Linked DNA regions of Tribolium castaneum. The protein of the gene in region 1 interacts with the protein of each later gene in a pairwise test. Links are inferred from orthologs where the notes say so. Each region holds a gene or a part of one and is shown on either strand. Other genes may lie near its edges. The genes, in order: unk and heca.

Region 1 (16,574 bases):
TTATTTAATTGTTTATTTAATTAAACATGATTTTCGACCAAAAGTTGTGTTTTTTCGACTTATCTTTAGGCAATTTCACGAAAATAACACCAATTTTCATTTATTTTGTAATTTTTATGTAAGTGCAGACAAATTCTTACAAAATAAACCAATTTAGACCTAAAAAAAAGATAAGATAACATCAATTTCGACCAAATTCGGTGTTTCTTTTATCTACATTCTGGTAAATTTTTCAAAAATAAATAGTTTTCACTTCGACAAGACCCAAAAAAGGCTAAATTTACACCTATTTTGCTATAATTGGCTGCCTTTTCGGTCTGTTTTTAACTAAATTTTGCGAAATAATTGTATATCTGGTTGAAAAACGTGTTCAAAAAAGCAAAAATAAGACTATTTTGGTGTTAAATTCGTGAAAATTTTGAGACATAATTCACGTATCAACGCGTTTGCAAAAGAATTTTTTGAATATCTTGAAAACTAAAAGGTATTTCGAAAAAAAAATACTTGGAAAATGATCAAATTTTTAAAGTATTTGATGATGTACTAGATAATTTTTTCGTAAGATACATAGTTTAGGCACAAAACGCTTGGTTCCATACTTTTGCCTGTGTATAATAACTTCAAACACGTGTTACTTATTTCTTGAAAATTATAAAAATAACACATTTTTCGCTCAAATTTTACAGTTTTTCCGGTTTTTCGGCTTATTGTTAAAAAAATTTCGCTCAGAAAAGAGCTAAATCGAGTGAAACAAATCAAATAATAAAGCTTTGACATGAACTTGCAAAATAAAGTTCAAGATTTTTCAGCCAATGTTAGCGAAATTTATCGAAAAAGTTTAGTTTTGGCTTCGAAAAATATGCTTAAACTCTTTAAAAAACAAAATTAATACCATAATAATAATTAAACAACTAAAAAATGTGTTGAAAACACTAGAAAAACAAGAATTATGTTGTGTTAGACTTAAGTTTGTGCTTTTTCGATATTCACTAGGAAAACCCCGTAAAACAACAAGAAATTTCTTGTTAAAAAACGAGGCAAACGGTGCGACATAAGCTAAATTAAATAAATTCCGATTCAGCTTTATGTATTCATAAGAAATTTTTGGGAAATAAATAGGTTTATTTACTGTTTTTTGACTGGAATTAAGGACTAAAGTAGCGAAATTTCTTTTTGTGTTATGGGCTATTTTATTTATTCGTCATTTTGGTCTTCAATTCCAATCAAAAAAACAAATAAAAAGTTATGGACGAAATTATATAAATAATTATTAATTAGGTTTCTAGCTGGAAAATGTGCTAAGACTCGAAAAAAAAAACAAGAATTATGAATTAATTTTTTCGGCCTTTAACACAATTGTACGAATTTTTTGTTCAAAACCAAGTCTAATTTTATTGTCTCGTATTTTTTCCTCGCACAATTGTCTATTTTGTACCAGGGCCGTCGAGAACGTTCAACACCGTCTTTCAAAATCTCAGGAAGAAATCAAAACCCGCCTCTGCACCAGCCACCCTGTCCTCTCCCGCATCGAGCCTTGGCTGCGTTCGCGCCTCCGTTCCGCCGAACTGAAATTCAGTCAAGAGAACCAATGGAGCGCCCACGAGGAAGCCCTCACTTTATGCAACGCGAAACGCCTCCACCAGACGGTTTACTTCCTCAACCGTGACCTCGCATTCATGAGAGAAGTCAGTTAACAACCCCACCCAAAACCACCCTAAACTCTCATTTCCAGAGAGAACCTGCCCTTTTACGCGAACTGCGCAAAGTCAAAACCCCGACACGTTCGTTCCTCTGGCCGACCCAAATCTGGCTCCCGACCAATTGGATTGTGCGAAGAAACTTCCAAGGCCAATCAGAAGTCGTCCCGACTGTCCTCAGCAAACAAGCGACTAGCATCACGACGCCTAGGTCCGACCCCAGCCAACCCGTCTTCCTGGTGGAGAAGGAGATCGTCCGGACGACCACCACCAGGTGGCCGCTCTGGCGCATTTTCAATTACTTCCACCGGACGTGGTGTTGGACTTGGAACGCGATGTTTTTCTTCGGGATCGTGTTGCCGTGGTGTAGTCCTGTGGGACTCCGGGCGCTTTTCAGTCTCGAGCCCTTTATGCCCGACCTGGAGCTGTCCCAAGTCAATGGGACGCTCTTCCCGCGTAAAAGCAGTCTCACGGAGACGTTGTGCTCGCGTCTGATTAGCCTCTGGAGGCACATTTCCAAGTCCAGGACGCACTTTGAGACTAAACCTGATACGGGGTTCATTGGGAAAGGCTTCACGCGGCATTTGAACCGAATTTGGAACTATTTTTTCAAGGGATTGTTCGGGACGATTGTCCTAGTTGTGATTTTTCCCGTGGTGTGTGTCGCTGTGATCGCAGCGAGTGTTTTTATTGCCTTGACGGCGGTGGTGTGGATGCCTGTTTTTACATTGGCGGTGCAAATAATCAATGCGTTGATTTATGATCTGGACTGTCCGGAACAGAAGAGGAACCGATTTTTCGTACTGTTGGAAGCACTGGTTTGGAAGATTGGGCTTCAAGGGTGCGTGCAACCGATTGTTGCACTTTTTGTGGCCGCGGTTGTGTGCCCCATTATTGCGTTGGTGATTTTGACAGGTGATTGCTTTCACGCATTAACTGATAACGCGAAATTCAGACACGAAACGAGATGTTTTTTAAATAACGGTGAAGAAAAACAATAAAAAAATACAGGAGATAAAGAATTAAATTCTCAATATGAGTAAGAAGATAAAAATCATGCAATTATTTTAGATACAAGAAAAATGTTGCAAAAAATATTGTAGATAATTAAATTTCCTACATTGCGTAAGTTTTCATTTTTATATTGGTTGTATTTAAATAACAGTTAACACAAAAAATAAAAAGAGGTAAAAGTAATAATGCAAAAATTATGACGTAAACTATACTATAAAAAATTGAAATTTTTACTTTTAAAAAATTTAATTGTAATTTATGTATTCTTGTATTCTTGAATATACAATGTATTCAAAAATGGTTGTTTATCAAGTCACCTATGAAATTTGAACGTGTGTCGCTTGATTTAAATCGTGCCGTCACAAACTTAGGTAACATTTACCTAAGCTGTTGGCACTTATCTGTCATAGTTTTTGACATATGTCAATTTTTTGTTAGAATTTTTATTTGCATGGGTTTATTTAAAATATCTCAGCCCCCTTTACGATAAATGAATAATATGTTTAGAGTTCTAAAAAGTGTCAACTGTCAAAACTTAAGGCTACTATGATTTTTTCAAAATGTCATCAAAAAGGGATTATTCATTTTCAAAATAATTTTTCTGAACTCAAAATCGTCGATACGGATCGTAATTTTACAGCTGTAGCTATATTACAAGTAAAAAGTTTCTTAAAGGACTAAAAGATTCTAAATAAAATAAGTCAGGTCAGGTCAGGCTAAATAAAATTAAAAAAAAATTATTAAACTCAAAAAATACACAAATAAATCTGTAGTATATTAACGTGTTTAAGACAGACATTTGCTATTTTTTTTTCAATTCATTTAAATATTCTTTAATTCAAAATAATGTTATCTTTTGGTTTACGTTTACGTTTTAAATTCTGTTACACTTTTACGTTTATGTTCTTTTTCTTATATTTCTCGATAATCACTTACGCTTACAATTAGGGCCTTTATGTACTCACCTTTTACTACTACTTTCTTATTTCTGCCGGTTTTTAACCGTATCTGTCTTTACGTTTACGTCTATTTTGTGTAATTTCTTATTTACGTTTTCATCATGTTATACTTGTTTCTACTTTTTTTTATTGAAAAATTGTCAGACCTGATCCGGGCTTGAACCCCCGACTTCCCGCGTCGAAAGTGGCGCTTTTACCACTGGACCACCAGGCCCTAGCTACTGACCGTCTTTTACAGATATTTTAACATAATTTTTTTACTTAAATCAAAATTATTACAAACTATAAATGCTTCAATTTGCCTAAAACGCATATATTTTGCACAAATCAGTTCAAAAATCGTCAAATTCGGTCGAAAAAAAACATTTTGTACACTTTTTTTCAATTTGATACTCAGTTTTTCACAAAATTTCATCAAAAATCGCCAAATTAAGGTGCAGAAGGCAGTGTTTTAGAATTTTCCAAACGTGTAAGTTGACTTTTCAGTTCGAAAATATCAAATTTGGAGAAATTCTAAATCAAAAAACCTCAATTTCGACATTGTTTTTACCCTTTTTGTGACTTTCTACACACTTTTAGATCAGAAAATGAAAATTATTGCCGAATTTCATCTTAAATCTCCCAAAAATCACCAAATTTATAAAAAAAAAAAAATAGCCAAACTATCGTCAAAAATATTTTTGGGTACAATTTTGCATCTCGTTTCGTCTCCTAGTACATAGTTCTCCGTGCGCTCATTACGAAACCGTTTTGCGTGTCGTAATATAAAGCTTGCAATTTTTTCCCCAAGGTGGCATTGCTCGCTACTGGCTGCGCCTCTTCTGGGACACGACCCTCTTCCACTTAATAATCAAAAAACGTGGCCGTATCCCAGCCAGTGACAGTTTCGTTGTGAAACGCATCGCAGGACCGGGCCTAGCCTCCGACTACTACTTCCAAATCAGTCCAGAGCAGGCCCTTGCCGCTTTCGAGGCCAAAATGGAATGGGACGAACTGTCCGCATACCAAACCGTCGTCGAAAACACAATCACACAACCACAGCGTGACTTTAGCCACTTTATCGAAGCGTGTTTCGGTGGCTTTTCGGCACAGTTGGCCAAAAACGGCCCTTATAAAAATCTCGAAAAGGAAGCCCAAGACCTGATGACGGTCCTGCACGAGAAACTCGAACGGAGACGACGTGACTTACAAACCGGTCTCAGTGTCACCGTTAAAAGTAAAATTAAATTGGAGACGTCCGAATTGAAAATTGCTATTCAACAAGGGGCGCTGATGCTTGAGAGGTTTTATCCAACGCATATTTTACCGAAATTGGGGTGCAGTGAGGACCAGTTTTGGGATAATCGGGCTTTGAGTCCCGGGGATTGGGCGGGATTGGCTGGTTTGTTGTATTCGGAACTTTTCAGTTTGGATATTTTAACGCCGTTGGATCATACGGATACGAGTTTTCGGCTGGATCCGCATCCGCAAGCTGATTTGTCTAGGTATACGGAGATGGTGCAGTGTGCACAGTTGGGGGCTCGGGGGCCCGATCTGTTGGGGAATGTTTACACGCCAAGGGGGAATATTCAAGTGCATTCCCCCTATTTGGAAGTGTCGGCGTTTAATCCCAGATCTAAGCTCGCCACGACGGTGAAAAAGTGCGAGAAGAAGACGTAAGTTTAATCAAGACAAGAGGTACAGCAGAACCTCTATCCGTGTTTTTTTTTTAATTTTTCTTTAGTCATGATTAAATGAATCGAATAATTTTCTCATAATATGCAAAAAAACCGACAAATGTAGTAGTTTTAACAATCTCAGAAATTAGAAAAACCTATGAAGTGAAATGTTTTTCTTCTAATGTGGATTTTTTGCTTATTTTTAGTCTTTTGTTGTGGTTATTAAAGGAAAGATTATTGTAAGGTCATGTAAAATACGCGTACTTGCAAAATTTATTGTTAATTATTTATAAATTATTAATTAAAACAGATATTGTCGTATTGTCACAGAGATTACGTATGTATGCAAAATTTCAGTTCGTTCGGATAACAGGAACCCTCTCAAAATCAGACAACAAAGTTAGCTTTTTAAAAACAATTTTGTAAATTTCCGTAAGGAATTCTCTTGCAAAGGTGCAACTTTTCAATTTTAATTTTTTTCCACACTAAAATAAATATCAAAAATTTGAAATTTTTGAGTTTTCTGTCAAATTTGTGGTTTTGGAGTTAGGTGAAGTTATGCCGTTAAATAAATGAAGTAACTGTCTCAAATCTCTTTGATGGTTTATTTATCACGGTAAATGTATATTTTTATATTATATTATATTTATATATTTATTTTATATATATATATATATATATATATATATATATATATATATATATATATATATATATATAATATATATATTTATATTATATTATATTTTTATAGTATATTTTTAAATATCATACGGTGCGTTCAAAAAATCTTTAGATCAGCTCTTGCTGTGGAATTTAGATTGACTGTCTTTGATAGATTGTCCATTTATTCTGTTGAAGTGTCAAACGCGATCACAGCAAGAGTTGATCTAAAGACTTTTAGAATGCACTGTATAACATAAATAATTTACGAAGTAAAAAATTTGTTGAAAAATTAAAACTTTTCTATAAAATTCGTTTCTATAAAAACTAACAACAAAAAATTGGGAATCTGCTTTAACAGAAAAAAAAACGACAACAATGAAGCATCAAATAAATTATGTCATAGATAAAGATTGCATATAAATTAGATAAGCAATAAAAACACACTTAACCAAAAAAAAATTTCAATTGTATTTTTTTCGTATTCGATTCAAAGTTAAACTAATAATCATTTCATTTATCGGGCTTGGTTTTCCCCATGATAATGAGATTCTGCTGTGACGTTTTTTATTATTTGTACAAAAAATTAATTGGGGGTTTCAGGGAGTCGTTGACGATGTTGGGTTCGATCAAGAGTGGCACAGTTTGGACGCCTTGGAAGAAGCACTCACGGCCGTTTTCGCCCGATAAAATGGTCATTCCTTTGCCCGTTCCGCACCCCGCACACATTGCCGTTACGATTTTTAACCGCGATTCAGACGATCCCATTCCCTTGGAATCCGACATTTGTCAGAGTATTTTACGCGGTATTGAAGAGAGTCACATTTCGCTTGAGGAGTCATCCGGTGGTATAAATAGGTATAAAGGCGGGGGCGACTCGTTTGAGACAAGCTCGAGTTCGGAAACGCTCGACAGCCCCCATAACGGTCTCCAATCGAACCGCAATTCCAGCGACGGTGTCTACCAGTGGACGTTAAACAACTGGGGTCAGCGCAAACGTAATAATTCAGGTAGTGTTAAGGTCGACTTGGCCAGTCCCGAGGACGTTACTTTAGACAGTGACAGTACTCGGGTGGTTTTCAGTACGTACGGTACGACCGTTTGAGTCATTTCCTTGTGATTTTCCAATTTGATTGGTTAATTTTTAAGTTTCCGTGTGATATTTTAGTTACGATAACAAGCATCACTGTGGCATTTTTCATATCAATAATAATCGAGTGTAGTACAAGGGCGTAAAAGTATAATGGTTTCGTTGAGAATTATGAATAAATGCAGGAATTTAAATCTAGGATAAGGGCAAATATTTAGCTAGTAATGCACGTAGTTATTAAATTTTTTATTTGAGAAATTGTCCATTGCACTAGAATTTGTATAGTCGGATCGATTTAGAGGCAAATTAGGGGTTCGAAACAACAGCATAGCAATAATTTGCTGATAATTAAATGTTTTCGTTGAGTTACTACATACTTGTCCATATTTCACAAATGGTAGCTTATGACGTTCAAACGAATTTTCCACTTAGCATTAGAGCGGACCGTTTTAACTACTCGACATTGTTTTTTATTACTATTGTTTGACCTTTTATTTATCGTGTACCTGTCAATTACACAAATACTCTCTGTACTCGATATTATTTTCGTGACGTTTTTCTATGTGTATAAATTTGTATTTTTTTCCATGTCTAATTGTACAATTTTTATTGCTTGTTGCTTGTGTTAATTGTATTATATTTATAAAGCTGACATTTTGCTACGTTTTGTGTTTACTCAGAAATATAAAGCTTTAAGACTGGACTGGCCCCATTTTTTTATCCCTTTCAACCCAACCACAAAACCAAGAAAAAAAATAAAAAGAGGTTTCCAACGATAAGCTTCTCAAACCGTTCCAGAGTTATTGTACGATAAATGTTCAGGAAATCGGCCAAAATTTCGGCAAAAATCGGAAAAATCTGATGTTTTTTTGCACTTTTAACAACTCGAGAGAGTTCTAAAGAGAGAAAAGTCCATAAAACCTCCCTACAGTCAGTTTGCAAAAAAAAATGATTTTTTTTGAAAGCACACTTGACCATGCATTTTTTTACATAAAAGTCTTTAGAAATAAATTAATGTTTCTTTACAAAAACTGTTCAAATGTTTAGAATTTCCAAAGAAAAAGAAGTTATGATGTGCAATTACCTGAGGTTAAGTGTGATTGCCGCTTCAAAAGTTCGCCACTTTAAACGACCAAAAAAACTAACACTAACCGAAAATCATTCACAAAACGATTAACAACACTTCAGCATTAAAGCAAAATAGTTCGAATTCGAAGACAACCACGAAAAATTAGGACGCGCACGACCCCGCCAAACGTGCCAGAACTACCAACGTAAAAACCACGCAACATCCCTACATTTCAGGGCACCCTTGACCATGCATTTTTTTTTAATAAAAGTTTTTACGAGTAAATGAATGGTACGCACTTAAAAGAAATACCACATAACTATCAATTTTCCTTTACAAAAACTGTTTAACTGTTTACACTTTCCAAAGAAAAAGAAATTATCATGTGCAATTACCTGAGGTTAAGTGTGATTGTCACCACTTCAAACGACCATAAAACTAACACTAACCGAAAATCATTCACAAAACGATTAACAACACTTCGAAAACGGCATTAAAGCAAAATAGTTCGAATTCGAACACAACCACGAAAAATTAGGACGCGCACGACGGCGCCAAACGTGCCAGAACTACCAACGTAAAAAACCACGCAACATGCCTAAATTTCAGTGCACCCTTGACATGCATTTTTTTTAATAAAAGTCTTTACGAGTAAATTAATGGTACGCACTTACAAGTAATACCACATAACTGTCAACTTTCCTTTACAAAAACTGTTCAAGTGTTTAATCTTTTCTAAGAAAAAGAAATTATGCTGTGCAATTACCTAAGGTTAAGTGTGATTGTCGCCAGTTCAAACGACCATAAAACTAACACTCACCGGAAAATCATTCACAAAACGATTAACAACACTGCGATAACGGCATTAAAGCAAAATAATTCGAATTTGAACACAACCACGAAAAATTAGGACGCGCATGACGCCAACGAAGGTGCCAAAACTACCAACGTAAAAAACACGCAACAAACATCCCCAAATTTTAATGTTTTTGGGGCATTTAAACAAATAAATAATTGCTTATAATTGCAAGTTTTAATGAAAAAAGCACGGCAAAGGTACAGATTAGAGTATTGACACAGTTTAAGCCACAATTAAGAGTAGAGGAAATTAATTAATTAAATGCACAATTTAATGACCAAAAATAAACTCAATGCTTGTTGAGATAGGCCTTTATCCCCAGTTATTAACCTTCACAACTCAACCGTGACCGGCAATAGTGAAGCAATAAATAAAATTCGTCAATTACGCACCAAAAGCACGTCTTGTCCCAGTTTCGCGGGGGCGTGCCCCTCCCACCTGCCACATGCACCTCACCCCAAAGAAACCCATCAAACCCCCATAAAGCACCCAACAGGCATGGTTCCTCCCAAAATCAGGTGCTTTCCAAATTGACCAAAACACAAATGTCCTTGAAGATGGTAAAATTGGTGGGCACGTGACCGCAAGCGGGCGCCGCCATTGGCCCGTTATGAGCGTGCCCTGCGCGAAACCACCGCGCATCTTAGTGATTACAAAATGCCGTCAGAGTCTAAACCTTTGTTGACAGCTCAGACGGAAAAGCCAAATCATTACTCGTAAGTGTATTTATAGTGGCGTGTGTGCCGTCGCGACGCCTCCGCCGACGCCCCACGCCCCCTTTTCCCGCATTTCCGCCGCCCAACCGCCGCCTTTTTCCAGGTATTTGAAGGAGTTCCGAGTCGAGCAATGCCCGCTCTTCTTGCAACACAAATGCACGCAGCATCGTCCATTCACCTGTTTTCACTGGCATTTCATGAACCAGCGGCGTAGACGGCCCGTGCGGCGCCGGGACGGCACCTTCAACTACTCCGCTGACAACTACTGCACTAAATACGACGAAACAACGGGCATTTGCCCCGATGGCGACGAGTGAGTACACCTTTTTTGGTTAGCTGTCACACGTTGTGGGTGTGACAGGAGCGCGCTTGATCAAAACAACAACAAACGTTCCAGGTGCCCCTTTCTGCACCGGACGGCCGGGGACACCGAACGCCGCTACCATTTGCGCTACTACAAGACGTGCATGTGCGTGCACGACACCGACTCCCGGGGCTATTGCGTAAAAAATGGGCTGCATTGCGCGTTCGCGCACGGGAGCCACGACCACAGGCCCCCAGTTTACGATATTAAGGAGATCCAGGCGCTGGAGGCGGCCGAGGCCGAGGGCAGCGGCTCGGCCAATGGCCCCAATGCGCTGGACAAGGAGCGGAACTTGATGAATGAGGATCCCAAGTGGCAAGGTAATTGACTAGGACAACAAGTTTGTTTGTGGGGTTCGGGATTATGGCGAGAGCGGTTGCCAAATGTGCGATTGCATCATTTTGTTGTGTTGGCGCAAGGAATTGTGTTTACGGGAATTGGGGCAATTTAGTGAAGGTAATAACTAGAGATAAAAATTATCTCGAGAGATATTTATACGTGAACTTTATTATGTTGTTTGCCGATTGAAAGGTCAGATTGCTTTCAATTGTATTCAAAGCGGTGCGAGATTGTGGATTAAAAATGCATTTTTTATTGTTATTATGCACAGAAAGTTGCGTGACTCATTTTGGCGCCAAACGATGAATTATTTATTCCGTTTCCATAGTTTATTGCTTTTTTTTAACTAAATTAATTTAAGAATTCTAATATTTTTTGACTTGTAAATAAAATAAAAGTTTATTGGTTTTTCGAATATTTAAATTTAAAAAAATTCAAACTAGTTCCAGACATTTAAAAAAATTCAAACGATTTTTTTGCCGATAAAAATGCATTTTTTTTATTTATGAACAGAAAGTAGTGCTTGAGTAACTAATTTTGGGAGAAAAAAATATTTTTTATTTCATTATACAGGGTGAGTCTGCTGAAAGGTATGTTTTTTACGACTTTGTTTCAAAACTAGAAAAAATAGCCCTAGCAAGCGCATTTTCATTGTTTGGGGTCAAATAGGTCGCAGATTAACATCTTTTGTGTTAAATTGAATTCTAGTAACAAATTTAGTGCCAAAACCAATTGTGAAAAGTGACAGATGTTTCTATTGTTTTGAAATAGACATTATAATAAAACGAATAATCACATTAAAAACAACGTTTGGCTTCAGATACTTTATATTTTTCTCAATACGGGTGATTTTTTTCAGAATTTTTCTACAATTCCTAATAACAAATAAATATTAATTAAAAAAATAACATAAAAAATATTGAAAAAAGTGACCTTTGTTTGCAGATTTTTTGCACAAAACTACAATTAAGCATAGAATGTTCTAAAAATGACATAAGAAATATTAAGATTCGGTAGTGACTTTATTAATTAATTAATTTTAAGGAATTGTAGAAATATTCTTAAAAAAATCACATGTTTAGAGAAATATAACATGGGTATTTTGTATTTTATTTTATTTATTGTTTATGATATTAATATTTAGATTATCGAAACCTTTCATTAAATGCTAGAATTATTATCTCCTAAAAATGTGTACAACTAATTCCAATTCCAAAAAAATTCTTTCAAAACTCCAATAAATCCAACTTAATTCCCGTTAAATTTCCTTAATTCCAAAATATGGTAGTCGTTTCCAAAAATAATCTCGGATAATTTCGAAAATAATTCTAGCAATTCCAGAAAGATTGCAGTAATTCCATAGATTCCAATTATTTTAATAATTCTGATTGAATTTCTAAAATTTCGATTCCACAATTTTTTATGGAAATTAAAGTAATTCCTATAATTTGTGGATTAATTCAAATAATTACAAATTATTTTCTGTAACTTAAGAAAAATTTAGGTAATCCTATGAATTCCAAGCCTTGAAATTAAATAAATTGACAGCACTGAAGAGAATCCTATATTTCGGAATTCTTAATCTGCAATATAATGTGTTGGTTTTTTTTATTTAATTCTTGTTATAAGGCACAAGAAAATTAAATCGCACCTCAATAATTATGTAATAATATCAATAAACAGGTAATTGCCTTTAACAAAAAATATCTCCTGTCTTAATTACCGGTTTGTCGGATGGATTTTTACAAAAACTCAACGTGTAACTGATAATAAAGAAGAAAAACAAAGGGAATGGTTAACAATAATCGTGAAAAGATTTTATTTAGTTTGTTTCCAAAACCTATCCAATATAAAATCGCCTCTCTGCTATTAATAAACGTTGTAATAGTGGTCGCTGTTGTGTTTATGTGTTTGAAAAAATGTTATCTACTATTATTTCGAATGCGGTTACAATGTCAAGGTTAACGTTAATTAATTGAGCTCTAATCTTACACTACAATTCCAATAAAAATCGTTTGTACAAGTCGGTTTTTTTTCTTCTAGATACAAATTACGTACTATCAAATTACAAAACGGAACCTTGTAAAAGGCCCCCACGTTTATGTAGACAAGGATACGCCTGTCCCCAATATCACAATAGCAAAGACAAGCGAAGAAGTCCTCGGAAATTTAAATATCGGTAAGTGGCAAACAATTCACCAAAGAAAAAAAAATTAAACGCATCCTCAGATCAACACCATGCCCTAATGTAAAACATGGAGAGGAATGGGGCGAGCCTGGAAATTGTGACTCTGGCGATTTATGTTCCTACTGTCACACACGAACCGAACAACAGTTTCATCCAGAAATTTACAAAAGCACCAAATGTAATGATGTACAACAGTCGGGGTATTGCCCACGGGGGGTGTTTTGCGCATTTGCTCACGTTGAACGTAAGTGGGGATTTTATTTTTTTAAATTTTGGTAATGTTGCATTGTAGAGGAAATGGGGGTTTCGAGGGACACGGGGGAAAGTGGTACAAATTTTGCCGAGATATTATCAAATGCTCTTCCGCCTAGTTTAGATAAGAAAGAAAAAAGCAGCGATAGCTCCGTAAGTCGTCTCGTTTGATTTTTTGCAAAACTAATTTGTTTTTGTAGAATGGTAGCAGCGAAGTTAGCGAGTCAGCATCGACGTCATCATTAGGTTCAAATAGTTCGCATAGTAAAGCTCCCGGTTCACAATTAGCCCACAAGTCGCTACCTTTTAACCGGTCTCTGCCACTTGGCGTAGAATTAAACAACAAATTACTAGCAATTGAGAAAGATCCAAGTTTGGACGTTTTAGAACGTGAAAAAATGAAGCAATCGCTACGGTTTCCCTTCGGTGGCGGTTTCTTCGGCTCGACTAACGACACAGTAGTCGGTAAGTCAGAACACTGTAAAATTCCCTCGAACGCTATTGGTCGAATTCAAGGTAACGCATTGGACGAGCTAACTCTCGACGATTCGCTGAATCTATCAGGCCTTGAGCGTGATTTAGAATCCGAATCGCCAACAGTCACAAATTCAATATCGGTCGGTTTAGCATCGTCTGGCCTTTTGGGCAGTTCCGCCCCTGTAAACATTCCAGGATCGGCTCGTTCCGGCTTGGGCGGCTTCAGCCCAACCAGCAATAGCCCCTTACAAATCCACGGTGGTTTTTTATCAACTCGTTTCTCCCAATCCGACATGGACTTTTTAAATCATTCGCAAATTCAGCTCAGTAGTAGTGCATCAAAAATCAACTCCTATCAGAACTTCTTCGACTTTCCGCAAAGTATTTCGCCAACGTCACGCAACCACAACAACTTCAGTATGTCGCCGAGTGTCAACAGCAACATGGAGGTGGCTTTGTTACGCGAGGAATTACATTCGGCTAAAATGCAGCTAAGCAGCTGGGAGGAACGCCTACAACAGGCCCGGACTGCGTGCGATTTGTGGAAGCAAGCGTCCGAAGAAGCGAATCGTAAGAGTCACCTGACCGAGACGAAATTGAACGAAACTGTAACGCAACTCAACGAGACTGTGGCACAGTTGAGTAGTTTGAAGCAGGAGTTTGAGAAATTGCAAGGGGGGCCTCATATCCGAAGCATAACGAACGTGGCCGAGTTGAGTAAGTTGTCGTTAAGTGTGTTGAAAAATCTGCACGCGCAATTGAAACAAGACTTGGAGGAGATTGAGAAGGTTTTATATCGCGAGACTGCCTCGAAATGTATGGTTTGTGAGGAGCGCAATCGGACTGTAACGTTAAATTGCAATCATTTCGTTCTGTGTAGTAGTTGTGCCCTAACGCAGAGTGAATGTCCCTACTGTCAGACACCGTTCAATTTGAGTAATAACATGTGAAAGAGAGATGATTAGGTATTTAACAAATTTCTAATGTCATGGACAACTTACATCATGGCGGGGCGCTAACTACGGAGATCGAAAGGTTAGGATGCGAAGCGACGAAGAAATAAAACGGTACCGAGTGAGCTAGTTGCGTTATTGTCGCCAGAGGGCGTCTAAGTGAGTTTGGATAACGCTTAACACAGCAAAGAAAAAAATACAGACAGATAAAGCATTAAGTATTCAATAGTAAGAAGTTTTATCGGAAAATATAAAAAGCAGGCCTAAAAATGACATTAACTAGGTCGAAAATCTTGGGATTTTTGTCTTTTTCCAGTGTTTTAATAAGTTTTTAAGCGGTAAAGTTAGTTTTTGTTAAGATTTCACTTAAACACGGCTCAAAATTAGCTCATAAACGACTTTGTTTATATAATTTTTAAACGATTTTTTAAGTTTTGGGCTACAATATGTGTTTTTTCGTAAAGTCAGAGCCAAATCGTTAAACGATTAGCTCAAAAATGAATTATTATTATTACTGTTTAGACAAATTAAGCATATATTTAAGCAATGTTTGCTAAAAAGTAACAGAAAAATTCGAAATTTTAGTAATTTTTGTCTTATCCCAGCATTTGTGACAAATTTTTCAACAGAAATTTTATCAATTTGTCAATGGGAATATTAAAAAAAAAACTTCCGAAAAAACAAAATTAATTATTTTTGACCAAAGCTTTGCTTTGCCAAAATCTTGCGAAAACCGGCGTTTATGAAGTCATAAAGTTAGTTCTTGTCAAGATTTCCTTAAAACACAATTAAATATTCATAAAATTACGTGGAAAACGACTTTATTTTAAGCGTTTTTCGAATTGTTATACAATTAGGTTGAAAGTAATTTTTTACTTTATTTTTTTTTAACAAATAAAGCATGTTTAAAGGCGAAATTTTGTTAAAAATCAACAAAAAAAAAATCAAAAATTGCGTTACTTGTGCCTTATCCGAGCATTTTTGGCACAAATTTTAATCACAAGGGTCAAATTTAGTCAAAAATAAACCGAAAAATTATTGAATTAGCCAATAAAAAAATGTTGGCTATTTATATTTTTAAGTAAGCTTGAAGATACAAAAAAAAGTGTAAGGAGCATATTTCTATCTTCAAATTAACTTTAAGATAGGAGTATGGTCTAGCGGACTTTTTTGTAGGAAATTTAATTCCCTACAACTTTCTTCCCAACATTTTTCTTGTATCTTTAACCGTATTCGTTGCGTTTTGAAAAATATGGGGCAAAGTGCAAATTGGTAAAAAAATTTTAATACAGTTTACGATAAAATGTTTATGAGAATTTAATTCTCTATCTGTCTGTATTTTTTGTTTACTTTGCGCTTTCTGGCGACGGGGACGTTTTATTTGTCCGTCGTTTCGCATCCTAGCCTTTTGATATCCGCAGTTAGTGGAGCGCAGCGCCATTTGGTGTAAGTTGGCCTTGCCAATGTAAGATGATTATGATTTGTTTTATTAGGCGCGAATTTGCAAAATCGTCGAATCTGATTCGTGATTTTGCACAATCGCTAACTATTCAATTGAATTGTCCGTGTTTAAACTGGTCTGAATACTGCTGTGGAAACAATAAATTGTAACATATTGAAATTTTGGCATGGTTTCGTTCATCGTGCATTTATTAATTGGGCTGTGCGCACTGCATTTCTCTCAGATTTCTTTGACGGTTTCAATACGGACTCTTGTTACGTTTTAGTTAGGTAGGACTTTCAAATTGAATTTTATTACGTTTTTAAAAAGCTGCACTGTTTAGAACATATCAAGATTTATTTATTTAAAAGGAAAAGATTGTATTTTTATATATGCGGAAATATTGTGATTATTTATGCGTTTCTTTGTAATAGGCTCGTGCAGCGAAACAATTCTTTCTTTGATTTTTCTTTTTATAAATGACTGATGCAATCGTATTTATTTGTAACGTAGATTCCCCTTTACAACTCACAGGTATGACCAATGTATTTTTCGCAACTAAAGCCGTTTGTAATAATAACCATAAGAAACGTTTTATTTTTCCCAGTGTTGTTGGTACGTGCCACTAAAACCTGACCTGTATAAATTTTGCAATTATTGCAAACAGCTTTAATGACTTATTTACATAAAATGTTTGTCATGGAATTCTATTTACAAAAGAACATATACTTATACTTAGGTAGGTAGTTTTAATAAATAAATTATAAAATACAAAGTAGTGGGCCTATAGTTATTACAACTACACACGTAGCAGTTAGATATTCGTAGGCCAAAA
Region 2 (16,125 bases), on another chromosome or scaffold:
GCATGAATGGTAGTTGTTGTGTAACGATAACAGTTGTTGGAACCCCTGAGGAGAGGCCGACCAATTTCCGTCTGGTTTCTAACACTGGTGATAGCTGCGAGCGCTTGAATTTCTGCATCTTATAAAATTGATACCGATACTCCAGGGTCCGGATTAGTAATAGATGCCTCATCCGGAATGTCAGGAATGGTTGAACAACTATTTAATTTCTTATCAGATCCCATCAAACCATCCTAGTTATGATTATTGCTAATTCAGACAAAAATTCTGAACTGAGAACTGAGCCGGCTTGCCCGCACGAGTTCCAGTTTGCTTCCGGACTCCGGGTCCTAATCCGGCAAATTTAAAACGAAAGTTTGCGCCATAGAGCGATTCAAATGAGGAAGCAAGGTCAGGTAATTAGATTTGTGTCGTCCGCACGGACTTTGATCCATAATCGAGTGAACGCCGTGTGGACGAGAGTCACTTCCCTTCGCCAATTGAATTTGTCACTTCCGTTCGCCATTTTCCATTTCACCTGACGACTTTCGTGTCTTAAAAAGGGCCCGCTTTCCTAGCTTCCATCTAGCAATTTGCTGCGGATCTGTGCAAAGTGTGCTCAACAGGAAGTGGTGTGGAGAGGCATCTGGCTTCCGCTGGCTTTGCTTTGTCCACTTCCGGCGCAAAGACAACTTTGTGTCAGAGGATGGGGTTGAATAAACCAGCCCCACTTTTTTGAAAATGACAGTTAATTTATTCTCTTTCATTTAAAAACATATCATCCTGATACCTCTTTAGGAATTTATAAGCGCGCTTTTAAATCTTCGGTTAAAAATCCTTCTCGCTCCGTGCATATTTTATATTTAATCTGCAAACAGAGCGCTGCTTTGTCGCAATTCGGAAATTCCCTTCTATTTTGATAGGGGATGTGACTCATTTAAAAGTTGATCGGGAGGATATTTACACAAAGGGTAACTAACGTTTTTTACCTCGGGAATGTTAATTTCGACAACATTTTTCGAGGGATATACGGGACTTTTTTATTGCATCATGTGCAATTCAGTCGAGTAAATTTGGCGACCGCGGGAGGAGCCTTTGTTTATAGGGTTGTAAGTATGCATTGCGTCGTTAGGGGGGTTGAATGTGATGGCAACTATTTCGTTTTACAGTTATGGCTGACCACCACTGGACTCGCATGCATTTCCAACCCTCTCACTTTCAAAGCTTTATAGGCGTTTTAATTGTTATAGGACGCTACAGGTTGTCCCAAAGGGCTTAGGGTTTCTTTCAACCTCGGGTTCTTAATTAACGCTCCGCCCGGCAACTGTAATCGATTCGTCGATTTTCCTAATACTTAACTTAATTAACTACCCACATTTAACTAATATCTCAACAAAAACCGAATGGAAATTAAATAGACATGTTAATGCACGACAAATTCAGTTTTTCAGCGTCTGCAGAAAAATACGACACCCTCTATTTTAATTTCATTCTCAACTGCTTCCCTTGTTTATCTGGAAAATAATGCAACAATTCTCGCTTTTGTCGTCGAAATGACAGTCTTTTTTTCACTAATTATTATTATTGAAGACAATAAATAAAATATATGAGCGATTGCCACGTCGTATCTCCTGCGGTAACAGGGTGTTTTCCCTCAAGAGAGCTCGTGGTTTCTGCAGTGCAGCTGTTAGCGCTTCAGACTCATTTATTTTAAAGCCTCAATTTACTTTTGCGCATTTAGTAGCAGAGGTGGTTTTCGGACAATGAATGCGAAATAAATATCGAGCGTCGCGGTTTCCAAGTCCACCAGAGCGTCCCCAAATCAGCAACGACTGATTCCGATAAATTCATTGCACTTAATTGAAATCCAACGGTCCTGTTGTCGAGTTGAGTTTACACAAACGACTGATATATCGCCCACGAGTCGGGATTATGTCTGCTTGATGAAAATATGTGGTGTTGTTAGCACGTCGTGGCTAATTTAGAGGATGGCATCAGATATGGAGAGTGCTAATTGGGCTCTATTGATGGAACGAGCGAAAACAAGAACAAAACGCGATGTAGATTCGGAAATACGGGCGTGATTCCGGTCGTAAATTAAGAATTGGAATCATGAAATATGTCGTAAGTTGGGTAAAGATGTTTCGAGACAAAGAAGTTTGGGTGAATCGTATTGGCACTCACGTACTCGTACTATAACTCATGCGATATCATCGAGTTTACTACGCCGTAATCCAATTCGGTGCCACTGACGGATTGCGCAAAAGGTGAACAAAGCCCGAAAGCTTTAACTTCCACCAACGGTTATAACATTGCATAATAAGTAACCAAAGACACTTTTTGTTATGTTTGTGCTTGTAAACCAAATGACTTTTCAAATCTTGGTCCCCGCGCAAAAGTTCTTGCGTAATCTGTGAATCTCTAAAGTAGCGAATGGCAAAAGGTAAGCACAAAGCATTTTAATCAATGCGGTTCCCTTGAAGCGAAAGTTAATTTCGGTAACGGAACATGTGCCCTGCTGTCCCCGATATCGTATTTAGTTCCGTTGCAATTATAAAGCCTCCGCCTTGGAAATCCAATCCGAAGGCCGGGGAGTTGCAGTGATGAAGCCCCGCGGTCCCTCGTCTTGTTGGTATTCATCGGACATGTGTAATCAAGCTCGTATAACTCGTGCCTTTTGAGATCTTCCGAGATCATCCCCGTCCAAATTATCCCAGCTACTTAAAATCGAAACGAGGATTTCATTTTTCGGTGCTTAAGCCGATTGCCGGGGCCCCCTTATCAACCCTTTGCGAGAGAATTAAAAGATCCGGCGTAGAGACGTGGTTTTGACGTGATTACCCCAGAGAACGCAGCCTTGTTTGGATAATGGGGTAAGAGGTTGTCACCCGATGCCTCGCTTATTAGCATCGGACCCCGTCGCTGACCGCGACATTAAGAGATCGTCTTTCCATATTCGGCCCTTTATGAATAATAAACAACGTGGGCGGGGGCCAAGATCCAATTAACTTAAACACAATGAACATAATTTAGGTGGAGCGCGGCGCCGGACGTGATGGGCATTTTGTTAATTTGCGTTTTCAAATTGCTGGGATTAAATAAGCAGAAGGATAAGGTCGGTGTTGGAATAGTAAAAAGATTAAAGCGGAATTTATAAATTGCAATGCGCGTACAATAAATTCAAAACGTAATGAACCGTAAAATTTACGATGTGCATTTCGCCATAATAATAGGATTTATAAATAGATACTTTATGAGCCGAAAAATAAACAATTATAAATTGTGAAACGTGCTCCACAGAGTGTTCGCATGTTGTCTACTTTAGTTAAATAAATTAATACTGAACACATATAAAAACATATAACAACAACAAATTATTTAAACTTCCGTCTAGTACAATTAGAATTGAAGTTTTAGTTGTAATTATTTAAACCTAAAAAAGCGACATAGAAATTACTTTCAATCAACATTAAAAAAGGTAAGTCAAAAAATGGTGGATGCGCCGGGATAATTTACGAACATGTTAAACATTCGAGTTTTATATTTTTATATTATCATAATTAGTTAGGATCACACTGTATACAGTATAGTTTACGTACAAAACGTTGTTTTCTTCAATTTGCAAATTAATTAAGTTGTTAATTAACTGCTCAAAGTGACTGCAACTTTGTGGTTAGTTTAGATATTATTTGGCTGCTTGCTAGCAGTGTTTGTTGGTTATTTAGTCATGTGTTGATCCACTTAATTTCGGTTGTTCTTGTAAAAAGCGTCGCTTGTCGCAATGAATCGGAGGCAGCAATCATCTCGCATTTTATTCCATCGGTAAAGTTTAATCCGAACGCAAATATTCATAAATTTCGAATTGTTAACGCTAGCAGAGATTAAAACCCAGACGAACCAATGCAGACAAAAATTAATTAAAACACGTAGAAATGAGAACCGTCTGACGAGTCTGTGTACAGAATACAAAATATTTGTTAACCTTAGGTGGCGTTCGCCGTATACATTTCACCAACTTTATGAATCCATTTTTGCTCAAAGGAAGCAATGCAACGACGTGAAGTATTGAATTTTATTTTTACATCGCGGCCAGACTACACCGTGTAGAGAAGTTAATTTAACTTATAATGTAGTGCTCGAAATTTTAAAATATTAAGCGTAAACGTGAGTCGTCGTCTGGAGTGAAAAACAGTAAAAAATCTCACAATATTATACGGACGTAATTTAAATATTTCAGTAAACCAAGTTTAATTAAATACATGTCAAAATGCGAAAAAACACTTTGGGCCCGGCGCCTCCACCAGAATTGTTGTGTAATGAAATTGTAGACCGATTTAATTAAAACTAGCTGATAGTCACGTAATTTTGGCCAAAGTTACCCGTTTCAGGATCGTTTCAGCGAGCTGATGTCATGTGAACCAAATCGAATTATTCAAAAGTAACTTATGCATTGTTTAGTAATTTAGCCTGACGCCGCAGCTTTGCCAGGCGTTAGGGCTTACCCTGTCCGACCGCAGACTTGGACTTGGGAATGCTGGACTGCCTGTTATATTGGCCAGCCGCAATAAGGAACCTCACACGGACAATCAACTAAACAATGGCTACCAAACTATTTGATACGTTTAACAATAAACCGGATTAACTAGATCCGGATTCTGTGCAATCAAATTTCCACTTTGTACATGATATTTGTTCTGCCTCCGTGTTTACTCTCAATTCACTTCAAAAATTATCCTTGAAGAGAATTGCGCATTAATCGAATCCGGAAAATAATTAAACTGAAAAAATTAAAAACGCAAAATCGCTTTAGGTGGTTTAAAAAAATGGTATTCAGTTTTAATAATGGACTGAATTTTTTCACTTTAGAAAGTTAATAATCGAACAAATGTCCCGAAAAAAATTACTTCATTTTTTGTGTTAATCCTTGTTGCTTGTTATTTTGTACCGAACTCTTTGATTAATGTTTTTGCAAAATGTTTGTTCAAAACTTTTTGACCATTAATACCGAAATCAAAGCTTTCATAAAGTGGCTCTTCAATTAAATGATGAATCCAGAGAAAAGCAAAGAATCTGGCAAAAACAAAAAACTTCGTTCATACAATGTTTGCGTTAGGTAAAATAACTGAATTGAAATTATTAAGTGCATCTACACTAATTAACATTATTGAGGCTACTTATAGAAACGACAAAAATTCATTTCAACCATTCCTTCCTGCTTTAGGACCTGCCAACTACTTGACCTAGAATTCTAGTATTTGTCTCAGATAGTTGAGGTGATTACGTAACACGAAGTATCAGAACTTTATTATTATTTGAAAAGAACTGAGAAAGTCATATAAAAGGGAGTTAAAATACTGTTGACAAACATTTTTTCTGAAAAAATAAACTCAGAACACTCGTATATTTCAGTCTCGAAGCGGGGTACAAACAATTATCTTTTATTCCATCACGCGTTTGAGTTCGCCTCTTTTATTTTTTGCTGTTCATTTTATTAGTCTGCGCACAAAGGAATTATTACGTCTCTAATTTGTGATAATATTATGCAAAAGTTTTTGGTTGTGATATTGTTGCCGACATTGTGTTGTTAACAAAAAGTGATGCTGATGGCGAACTGAAAATGAATTTCCTTGTCGGTCTAGAGCGTTAATCTGCATCAAAAAACCACTTCATACAAGTAATATTGAACCGCTCTTAATTAAATGAATATTAGGTGCTTTCAAAAATAACTTCAGGAGAAACCGTTCTGTTCGGGGTGGCGATAAGAATCCGTTAAGTTATTCAAAGACAGGGAGCTCCCTGACAGATTGGCGTCCCTCTTGCGTCCTGCATACCAAAATTGGGAATCCTAACGAGCACAACGGACATACCGTTCGCATACGAGATTTCGTAAAAAAGCATCGTCTTGAAAACTTGGTTTAACAACACTTTGTATAATCCCGGAACGATTCAAAACACAGTAGTATCAAGATTGGCCAATTTAATGTGACGCTGTAATCGCAACAAGATTTGCTTTTTACTTGTCGAAGTTAAAGTAATTTATTTATCGGGAGATAAATTTGAAGCAGTGACAAACTGTAAATGCATTCGGAACGTGATTCGGATGAATTCCACAGGCAATGAATATTAAACAAGTTTGGGACGGGATTATGAAATCAGAATTATGGAGATGTTAAACAAAAATACGTCACATGCCGTCCCGTTTGACAACAAGACAATTTGTCTGGAAATTATCGCCACTCCTGAGACAGTTTCCACGATTGCAATTTGACTGTGGAAATTATCGGTTCACCCTGAATGAAATTTGCAAGTTTCAAATATCCTGCGTGTGCAATTCCGATAACGAACGTTCCCCCTTTATCGAATTACAAACGCTCTGTTAAACATTCGATAATTATGAGCGTTGCAGTCACAATACGCACAATAAATCCGGACAAGGTGTGCACGTCTGGATCCGTGATTGGTTCCATTCTGACTGAATGAAATTAATTTCACGAGTTGTGCGTCAAGAAACCGAATAGCCAAGTTAATTAGTTGACCACAGCAGACGTTCTACAGCTTCGCCTTAAGCTAGAACAGTTTACAGTTTTCGAAAACCGATTTGGGGCGAGAAATTCGAGCACGCTAAGCTGCTGAAAGACAATGCTCTCCTTTGTCAATCTTGCGAATCCCGAAGGGAGCGTCCAGGGATTGTGATCTCGTGACTCGACGACCAAGCAGCGGTGACAAACGAGGAAGGTCCTGTATGCAGAGTGGCCACGATGCACATGAATGGCATAGTAAATAGTATCTTTACCGCATTATCGCCGGTTCGGCGAACTTCACGGTGTAATCACGAACGAAGATAAGTTTGAGACGGCTCATACATCAAACTTAATCACAACACACACCGATTTAAGCCACTGGAAGTTGTTGCGCGGTGGCAAAGTTTAACACTTGCAAATTTCGGAATGACAGTCGTTGCTTTGGTGGTGAGAGCGAATTGCTCGAAGATATCCGGCACTTGTTCAAGTTTCGGGAGCGTTTGGGTTGGGTGGCGAAATGAGAGGCGGTTTTAGACAATGGTTATATTTATTACGTTTTAAAAATTTGTAATCCCATTGTATTACATATAAAAAGCCGTCAAAAGCTCGATCATTTTTATGTCATATATTATATTGATATCAAATTTTTCACGCATATAAAAAACATTTCGACTTATGCTCGGACGTTCATCGTGAGCCCCACGAATAAAAGGGTTCGAATTTTAGAAATTCAACTAAACTTCGTTTGGGTCAAATAAATAATTTTTGTACATTCTAAAGCTTAAGCCACTCGCAGACCTCACAACGTCCTTCCAAGCACCAATTTATTGTTAGCCTAATGTTACAAATAGATAATTTACAATATACTGAAAGATCCTGACAAATTGCATGCTTCTCCAGCGACATAGGTACTCTAGTAGTGTGAATAAATACATACTCATTTTTATTGTGTGTAATTTGCTGAGACGGGGTCGGGCGTTGGCGTTGGCGCAGCGTTCAATTTTTGGCATTGAAATCCCCTCAGGTATGGCACATGTTGCTATCTCTATCCAGGAACGCTCCGCGAACGCCACGCCCGCCGCCCGCAAAACGTAACCTTTCCCAAATGCCCGAGGCCGGACCTCGACGAGTCGAAATCCGGCCGTGGCGGTAAAAAAATTACTTAATAAAACCTCTGCTGATATTGCTCATGCTAAACTCTGAAGAATACATCATCAATAATAATAATAATGATAATAAACCGGCACGGGTCGGGGCGGCAGCATTTGTACTCATTCAGTAATCACCGGTTGATTTGTAACTGTCTCGAGTCGAAACTCTTCGATAACAAGTGGCTGGTGCCGCGCTCTGCTAAAGTAGTGCCGGCCCTATCTAGCACAAGGGGCGGCAATGCAGAGCGCCCGCTTCGCCCTCTGCCACCCCGTCCGGCCCCTACTACAGTACGCTATAAACATACATAAACTACCTTCTCAACGCGCAACACTTCCCAATAGTAATAATATGTGTAATTGAAAACAGCGAGGGAGCATCCTAGCGGCTACTCTATACCGGCCGCCTCGCAAGACGGCCCTCACACAACTACGACACCAAACATGGTTACCATTTGTTAATATGTTGTGTGTACCAAATTTGTACTTTAATAGGAGAAAAGAAACCGCCCCAAAGCGACACTCCGACGATCTGACGCTTTATTCAACTATGACAAAAAACCGGACAACGAAATTCACTAGCACTAACATTCATTTTGTATAAAACGTTAAACTAAAAGTACTATAAACACTTGTTTAAATGGGATATATTGCCTAAGGATTATGAGCGATTATTCAACTAAAATGGTCAATCTTTCGGCCGAATGTTCCAAATTTCACTCCGGAGTTCGTACGGTGAAAAATCAACTACACACAACAACGAAACGGACTTTGCGCATTCTGACCACACCACAAGATAGAGAGCAGCGCAGCAAACCGCGACATACACTAACTGCTGTACAGGGTGGCTAAAAAATTAAAACAGACTTCTCAAACTCGTATCTACGGAATGTATTGACACTGCGATTTCAACTTTTGTTGGCCAAGAGATGATACATTGAGAAATATGCCCGCCAAGTTTCAATTGTAACTGCACCAGCTCAAGGAAATTCAGAAATCCTAATTTTGATAGATTTTTATAGGCGAGGTATTTGATCAGTTTTTGCTGCTTTATTTTTTAATACATTGATCCTGGACATAATGCCTGCACATTTTTTCGATTTGCTTCTCTATCGGTGGTGCGGCGTGGGCGAAAGAAAGGTGTAATGTTTGCGAAAAGAAAATGCAGGGATGGAGTGGCAGCCTAAATGGGGCGGCCCCGAACGCAAAAGCAAGGGAGCCCACGCAACCATGAGAGATGGAAACTACACCTACCTTACCTCGCTACAAGATGCAAAAATTTACGTATAAAAAATTAGTGTTTTTAAGAATTTTCGTTTTTTATATACAAATTTTTATCACTTCGAATCGATCATTGATCGTGATCACACGGAACCGGTTACAACATTAATGCCAACTCGTCTCGAAAAATAACTTGTATCGGTTCCACTTAAGTCTAGAAAACAGCCGATCGTATAAAAATATATCATCACAAAAATATGAAATTTCTGTGTACAAAATCACAATTATTAGTACGCCAATTAATGAAAGAATGGACCGCGACTAGCGGATTGCGCTTTCCAACCAACGAGTGGTTGGAAAGCGCCGAATGATACCCTCATGGTTGCTGGTTCTTGGATTAAAGACAGCTAGCTAAGCGAAACACACACGGATACATGTCATTATCTACTTGCAGCCAAGCTACGCTAAAAATACACTATATAGTGGTGCTCTACGGTACGACCCTTACCCTGATTGCGCCTTCGTGTAATAATATTGTGCATGGACAGCCTTATCGGAGTGAAACGCACGGCTCGGCGCGACTGTTATACATCTGCATAATCTGCTCCGTCCACCGTGAAACCGTAGTCCTCCCCAACGGGAGGCTTCCCAGTTTCACGGCAGTCGGAAGAAATTATGTCGGAGTTACACGACACGAAATGGCGCTAAATGGTGGTTTTGAAGCCGAGCCGCGCGCGGACAGAGAGGACGCCGGACCGCCGCCGACTTATTAATGTCTCGTCTTGATCAGGAGAAAAAAGGACGAATGGTCGAGCTCTGGCAGCCACCGATTGGTCCTCGCACCAGCTGGGGGTGCCCGCGCCTCTTCAACGACTACACCTACTTATTAATTCGTATTTTATTGTAAAAAACGACTACGAGCTAGACTTACGATTAATCGACATATAATACCAATTTGAAAAACTTAATGGATTCCGAATTCGAACACGTTTATGTACAGTTTTTGTCCAAAAAACGACAACATTCAAGGATTCTTATTACACGTAGAAAAGTTAGACCGTGAGTTAGGCCTCGATAACAAGAAGCGGTTTAGGGGTGGTTTAGAGTGGGGGCATGCAGTTACCACTACGCTAAGGGACTACTGCTACGCTCGCAATACGTTACAGAAGCTCGCTCGCACTCGCGCAACATATCTAGTCGGTCGATGTGTAGTACTTTCAAAAAACAACATAAAAGTCCAGGAGGTAGTGCATTTTTCTGGTACTGGCTCTCCCAGTCAGCTAACATGGACAGGCTTGATCAGTTAGTGGCGAAAATTGTATATTTGTAAAGAGGTTGTCCACTGGAAAGTTTTAGCCAGAGTAGGAATAATTGGATGAGTGTGAGAATTGGTAGGAGAAAAATTCACCACCTGCTGGACTTAAGCTTTGGCTAAACGGAGATAGGAATTATTTTACCCTCAACAATCGATTATATTGTTATCATTTATATAAAATTTGCAAAAGTAACGAACGGTTTGTACTTGAAGCAATTTCCTAGGTCCGCCATCTTCATCATAATCACCATCAAGTCTAAAGAGGTATTCGCGGATAATCTGAGCGGCTGAGTTCTTTGTACGTCCGTTTCTGGAAGGCTACGGGTGCAGCAGCGGGATGAAGTGGCAGTGTGCTACTCGCAGGGAGACCGACTGTCCCTGAACCCATCACAACAACAACGACGATAACGGGACACGCACGCGAGACCCATTCCATGGTCCCGCACCTTTCACACCTATCACTAATTATTGGGACACAGCAATTATATCAGTTTTATTACTATAGTATTATGTATTACAGTTATTAAGTAATAAAGCGATCGTTACGATCCGTGTAAACGTAACCAACACAGTTGCCTCTACATAACTTTAACCTAAACTTCAAATAAAAAATAATAAAAAAAAAACAAAACTCAAATCAATTAGACAAAAAAAAACTCAAACGGGATTGCTTTCAAACTTCACTCACTGTCAGTTCAACAAGACCTGCTTTAGCGTCAACTGAATTCGAGCTAGAAATTAAGATAACTATGATCACAATGTCATTCCTTTGATAAAAAGACTTAAGTTGAATATAAATTCACTAAAACCTAACAAACATATAATTAATAATAAACTAATAACATAACGGTTTTACACGCGAATATGTCTGAGGGCCGTTTCCAGAAGGAAAGCGCCCCCCAAAAATAAATGCGACATAAAATGCAACAACATAACAAAGAAATCTAAGTCCGTCTACCGCGCTCTGGTGAGTTGCAGACGGCAGAACTCGTCGAGACGCAAGCCGGCCAGCTCGCGCCACAGCAGCCCCAGATCCAGGTCCATGAGGTCTGGGGGCGGCGACGGCGGCGTCGGCGGCGCCTTCGCGAGCGAGGCGGGGGCCGCGGGCTATGGCCACATCTGCAGCGACCGCAGCGGCTGGCGGGCGTAGCAGTACGCCAAAGGCTTGACGAAGTGCGTGTCGAACGTGTGGCAATGCGGACACGGCACTATGTGGCTGTAGTCGCTGAAGAAGTTCAGGCGCTGGGCGGGGTGCAGCACTGGCTTGTAGCACGCGTTGCACTGCAACAAAACCAACCTCACCTCAATTCCTGCACAATCTGCAGAACAACACTTCGCTAGAAATCGATAAATAGGTCCAATATTGTTGATATTGATCCTCTGATGTTTATAAAAGAAGTCGCGACAAAGTTACATACAGATAACGAATTTTTATTGAATTGTTAACAAAATGTTAACAAAAACAATTCCTGATAAGACGGGCAATAATTTGTGGTCGGCTTAATTGTTGAGATGTTTTCGATTTCTTGTGATTTGTTACCTTGATGCGCTCGGTGCAGCACGGCATGGCAGCGAAGATATCGTAGGAGTACATGGTACCCAGAACGAGAGAGGATCCGTCCCATCTCTGGTTGCAGAACCTGCAGATAATCGCGCGTCCGTTTACGCCTTCAAGGCAGGCCATGCAGACTGCTGTCAAGAACTGGGTGCGTCCCTCTACTTTCACCTGCAGGAGACAGAAAGAAAAAATGAATTACATAATAGCCGTGCTTTGACCTCTGTAACTTACTTCGATGCAGCCTTTGGCATGCTGGCGCGGACTTAGGAAAAATGTGCCATCGACTAGAGGATACCTATCGAAAACTGGCATCGTCTCTTCGCAGAGGACACAGTGCACTTTGGAGCGACCCTGAGATGCAAGAGTTGACAAGATGAAGCAACGAGTGTCATCGTTTCCGTGGTTGCCCTCGTCTTCCGTCTGGAAAAGAAAACACGATGTTTTCAGTTCACGTGGGGAGATAAGGGCTTTGATCATTTTCCGATTGGGGACGCTGAGGGATAATATCCGGACGAGGTTTAATAAGGTGGTGAGACCGGACGCAATAACCACACTCGACAAACAGCGATCCTCGGGCTCTCCGCAAACTGGAAGCGAGGGGCCTGCTTGTACAAGATTTTAATAAGACTAACAGCTAAATATGTGTCTGATATAGTTTCTGTGATAGATAATAAAGCGAAGCGGCGCTTAAGCGTAATGTAACTTTAATAATTCGAGTCATATTTCAATTTTATCCAAGCGCGAAGTAAAGTGGATCCTTGCGAAGCGCCTCTTAAGACAATCTCCAGCAGTCATCTTGCATGAACCTAATACCAGCAGCGGCGGACACGTTAATCTGACAATGCAAAAAATTGGAAACAAAAAATCGCCCAGCTCGAGCATCAACTTCTGATACTTTAATCATTTCCGAATATGCAAGCTCGAGGATTTGCGGATGAGTTTATGTCATGGAAAAAATCGGTGGTTAACTTGTCAACGCGTGAGTGACGAGACTTTTCAAAACCATTAAATATTTCTACATGAGGAAGTTTCGTTTCACTCGCACGTTGTTATTTAGTCAATTTCGCTTTTCTATTATGGTCATCTCGGCTCCTGCTGTGCAAATGTAATGAAGTTGGTCGGCGAGTTTTCGAGTTTATAACGAGCTCCACGGTCCCATAAACCGCACTTTTGCAACTTTCTGCCGGACAGTCAAAAACAGGGAGCGGTTTGTCTTCTTGCACGATGACACCCTGAATTGTTATTCGAACGAAATTTATGGTTAGTGGCTTTCGCCGGATGAACTTCCACAAAGCCAAAAATTTAATACTCGAGCTGACAAAATCATCGACGAATTATACAGGGTGTATACCCGCATTATAAGGAAACCACATACTATAATAATCAACCGACGAACAATATAAACGCGCAAAAAATTATTGGCTAAACTTAATTTTACCGGAGGGCTCGCTCGTATCGCGTGCCTCAATTTATATATTAGACATTTTGCCACAGGTAATATGTTGAAAATCGATCCAAAAAAGTTGATTACGATTATACCCCCCAATTATATTACGTAATATGTTAAAAGTTCAATGTAATATTATAGTGAGTCATTGGAGATCGCTGATCAGCACAGCAATTATTTTTTTAATAATTAAAAAAAAAAGTTTAAAAATACAATCTTCTTAGTTTACACGATGATTGGAGTTTAAAAAAAAATTGAGATTTTGAAAGTTGTCTTTTGTGTCAAATACATATTCGTCGAGGTGTGTGTGGCAGGGAAATTTAAATAGCTCGAGTATAGAACATAAATATTTCATCCAACGCGCTTCGTTCACATTTCCGCATGGTTATAGATGAAGTTCTTAAGTCAGGCGTCCCTTGGAAGCCGTAAGTAAGTCAGTTGTTGCAAAAATGTGGCATTCTTTCGTGCTTTAATCTAGTTAATCGATGGCAAGCAAGTCTTACGGTGCTTAATTGAAACTGTCCACGAAGATATATTATAGTACACGGGTCAGAATGAAAAAAATCAGGTATGTTGAATCAAATATATACTAGGTGTAATAAATCTAGTCACGGAAGTCACTGTCCTGGCACAAATCAAACGAATCGAGTCGATGCAGTCGCGATCCAGAAACAGTGGTCGCAATTATAGTTGCAAGTTTAATTTACAGCTCGCTACGAATATGGCAAGTGAAATCTGTGCAGTTTGTTCCAGATAGACATCTGTTATTTAGCGATCAATCGTCTCTAAAAGGACGTGCGTCAGTATGGGATTCCGGGGCGCTCCTTATTCACCTCATCATCAAGTCAAAAGAGAGGCGTGTTCCCGTCAAAAGCCAGACTTTCCTCTTGCAACACGACTGTTAACAATTACGCTGCGATTCGATGGATTTTATCAGGAATTTTTCCTTGTTATCCTGGCCGCACCATATTTCACTGCCACCATATCGGCGAGATTTGAACCCACGTTGTTCCAGTGGCAGCTCCTAAATCACCGTCGCCGTCCTCACCGAATTACATGGACCGTTGCGAAAATTAATAGTCGATGTATTGCAAAGTTGCAAGCTCGTTTTTCGTTATTATTACCTCTGGAATACCGGTTTCGCAGAGATCACCGGAATGTCGTCCGACACGTGATATTTTATCGGAAAAATGCCCGAAAACGGATGCTCGTCTATCCAGGAAACTGATAATTGCGACTTTTTTTTTATCAAAGTCTTCGACCCAAATGGGCGATTTTTCGTGCGATTAGTAGTCGCAGGTTCGTTAACCGGTGGTTTATGCTCGAGAATGAGGGATGCATTGTTCTTCTGACGACGTTATATGGACGTCGCATTGACGTCGAGGTGATTAATTATATACATTGAGCACATGCAACGCCGTGACCTGCCATGACCTGCAATAGGACAACGACTGTACCGGGATGCTAATAACGAATACAAGGACATCTAATTTTAAATGCATTGGACGCCTACTTCTATGCACCAACCAATGCATGGGCCACGCTTCTAAATGTTAGCGACGTTGTCATAGAACGACCTTCCGCCGTCTGACAAATTTTACGCGATTTGTTATTATGAAACATTGGCGTCATTCTCGATGCAAAATCGGATGCGTCTACATGTTTTTCCAACGACACGATGCCACAACACAAGCCAAAATCTAATATTAACAAGAGGATTAATCGCTTATTGAAACTGTGGAGGCGAAAATTTATGGCCAAATCTTTTAATCCACATTAATTATTTATGCAAACACTTTTAGTGGCTCTTAAGCCCGTTGAAAGAACATGTAAATATAAACTTTTCCAACTAATACCGCCTGCCCGAAAAGTGTTTGCGTAATTGAAATCTAGATTTATTTTTTAAGTTGCGGAACTGCAACAAAGGTGTCACCTACTGACTGCGCCAATTAAGTTTTTGGAAGACAAGAGTACATTTTGTGTTTTAAAAAATATTTGTTTTGTTTCGTGGCCCTCTTTAGGCGTCGCAAGGGTGGATCTTTGCGCCGTTCCCGTGCGATCTTTTTTAAGCGGCTTAGTTTAATCCAGTCGTTCACAAGTCACCACCTCGCAAAATTAAGCCGAAATCAGATCTTTCCGTTTTAGATTTTGGGATTTTCTCTTCTTGTTATCAGCGACACGGAAAATTATTTTTGTTATAATGTATTTTATTTCACGGGAGCTTTGACGATGTAGTTTTTCAACGCGGAAATAATTTCACGGCGAAAGCTCCGTGCGAAAACACCCCGACGCAGATTAGCAAACCGCCACCGTCGAAAAACTTTCAGATTGAAATTAATTATTAAGTGAAAAAAGTTAAAGAGGGATTTGCAAATTCGACGAATTCGCTTGATAAAATCGACGTCCAATTAATATCCCAAAGTTTCGTAATGAATGGCAGAGTGCTCTTTGGAAAAAGTTGCTTAATTGGTCGATTGATTGTTTTTGCGTCGCTCATCAATTCAATTTTGTTATTGATTTCAAGTCGCACTGTTTCCCGATTCAATTTGATGGGAAATGACAAATCGTGGCGGGTGGAAGAAAGACTCGCTATTGTCAATCACTCTTCCGTTCACTGGTTTCCTGTTGTTCAACACTTTTTCTTTCATTGGTCCTGTCTGGACGACACGACTGTTGTATGTTTCCTTGATGGAAGTGGTTCATGTCAACAAAACTTCGCTTTTAATGCCCCAGCCCGGACTTTTTCCATCGATTCGACTCCGACCCTTATGAGACAATTACAAATATCTCGCTCCCGCACGATTACAACGCCCGTAAATAGAGCTATACGTGTTTAGTTTTTGCCGTGGTGTAAGGAAATAAATTGTAGATACGCTGTAAATTTCGTGCTTCTCGGCTGTTCAGGCTTGTGTGTGTAAGCGGTATTATTCGTTTGA

Evidence for each region.
Region 2: the proteins of unk (region 1) and heca interact in binary tests that used the Drosophila melanogaster proteins (3 or more experiments, as listed by UniProt). The link is inferred for Tribolium castaneum from reciprocal best matches to the Drosophila melanogaster genes unk and heca.

Annotation. Positions count from the first base shown.
Region 1 is NC_087399.1:925,427-942,000, reverse strand, and holds the start of unk (RING finger protein unkempt), read left to right. Parts: upstream 1-9,318; 5' UTR 9,319-9,666; coding exon 9,667-9,725; intron 9,726-9,828; coding exon 9,829-10,038; intron 10,039-10,122; coding exon 10,123-10,409; intron 10,410-12,471; coding exon 12,472-12,607; intron 12,608-12,657; coding exon 12,658-12,860; intron 12,861-12,908; coding exon 12,909-13,021; intron 13,022-13,068; coding exon 13,069-13,333; intron 13,334-13,384; coding exon 13,385-14,295; 3' UTR 14,296-16,574. Other genes in the region: uncharacterized protein LOC659874, read left to right, coding at 1,439-1,685, 1,733-2,612, 4,461-5,325, 6,595-7,096. UniProt on the Drosophila melanogaster protein: Essential for late larval/early pupal development.
Region 2 is NC_087397.1:4,546,091-4,562,215, forward strand, and holds the end of heca (headcase protein), read right to left. Parts: intron 12,163-16,125; coding exon 11,974-12,162; intron 11,911-11,973; coding exon 11,725-11,910; intron 11,466-11,724; coding exon 11,292-11,465; 3' UTR 7,029-11,291; downstream 1-7,028. UniProt on the Drosophila melanogaster protein: Required for imaginal cell differentiation, may be involved in hormonal responsiveness during metamorphosis. Involved in an inhibitory signaling mechanism to determine the number of cells that will form unicellular sprouts in the trachea.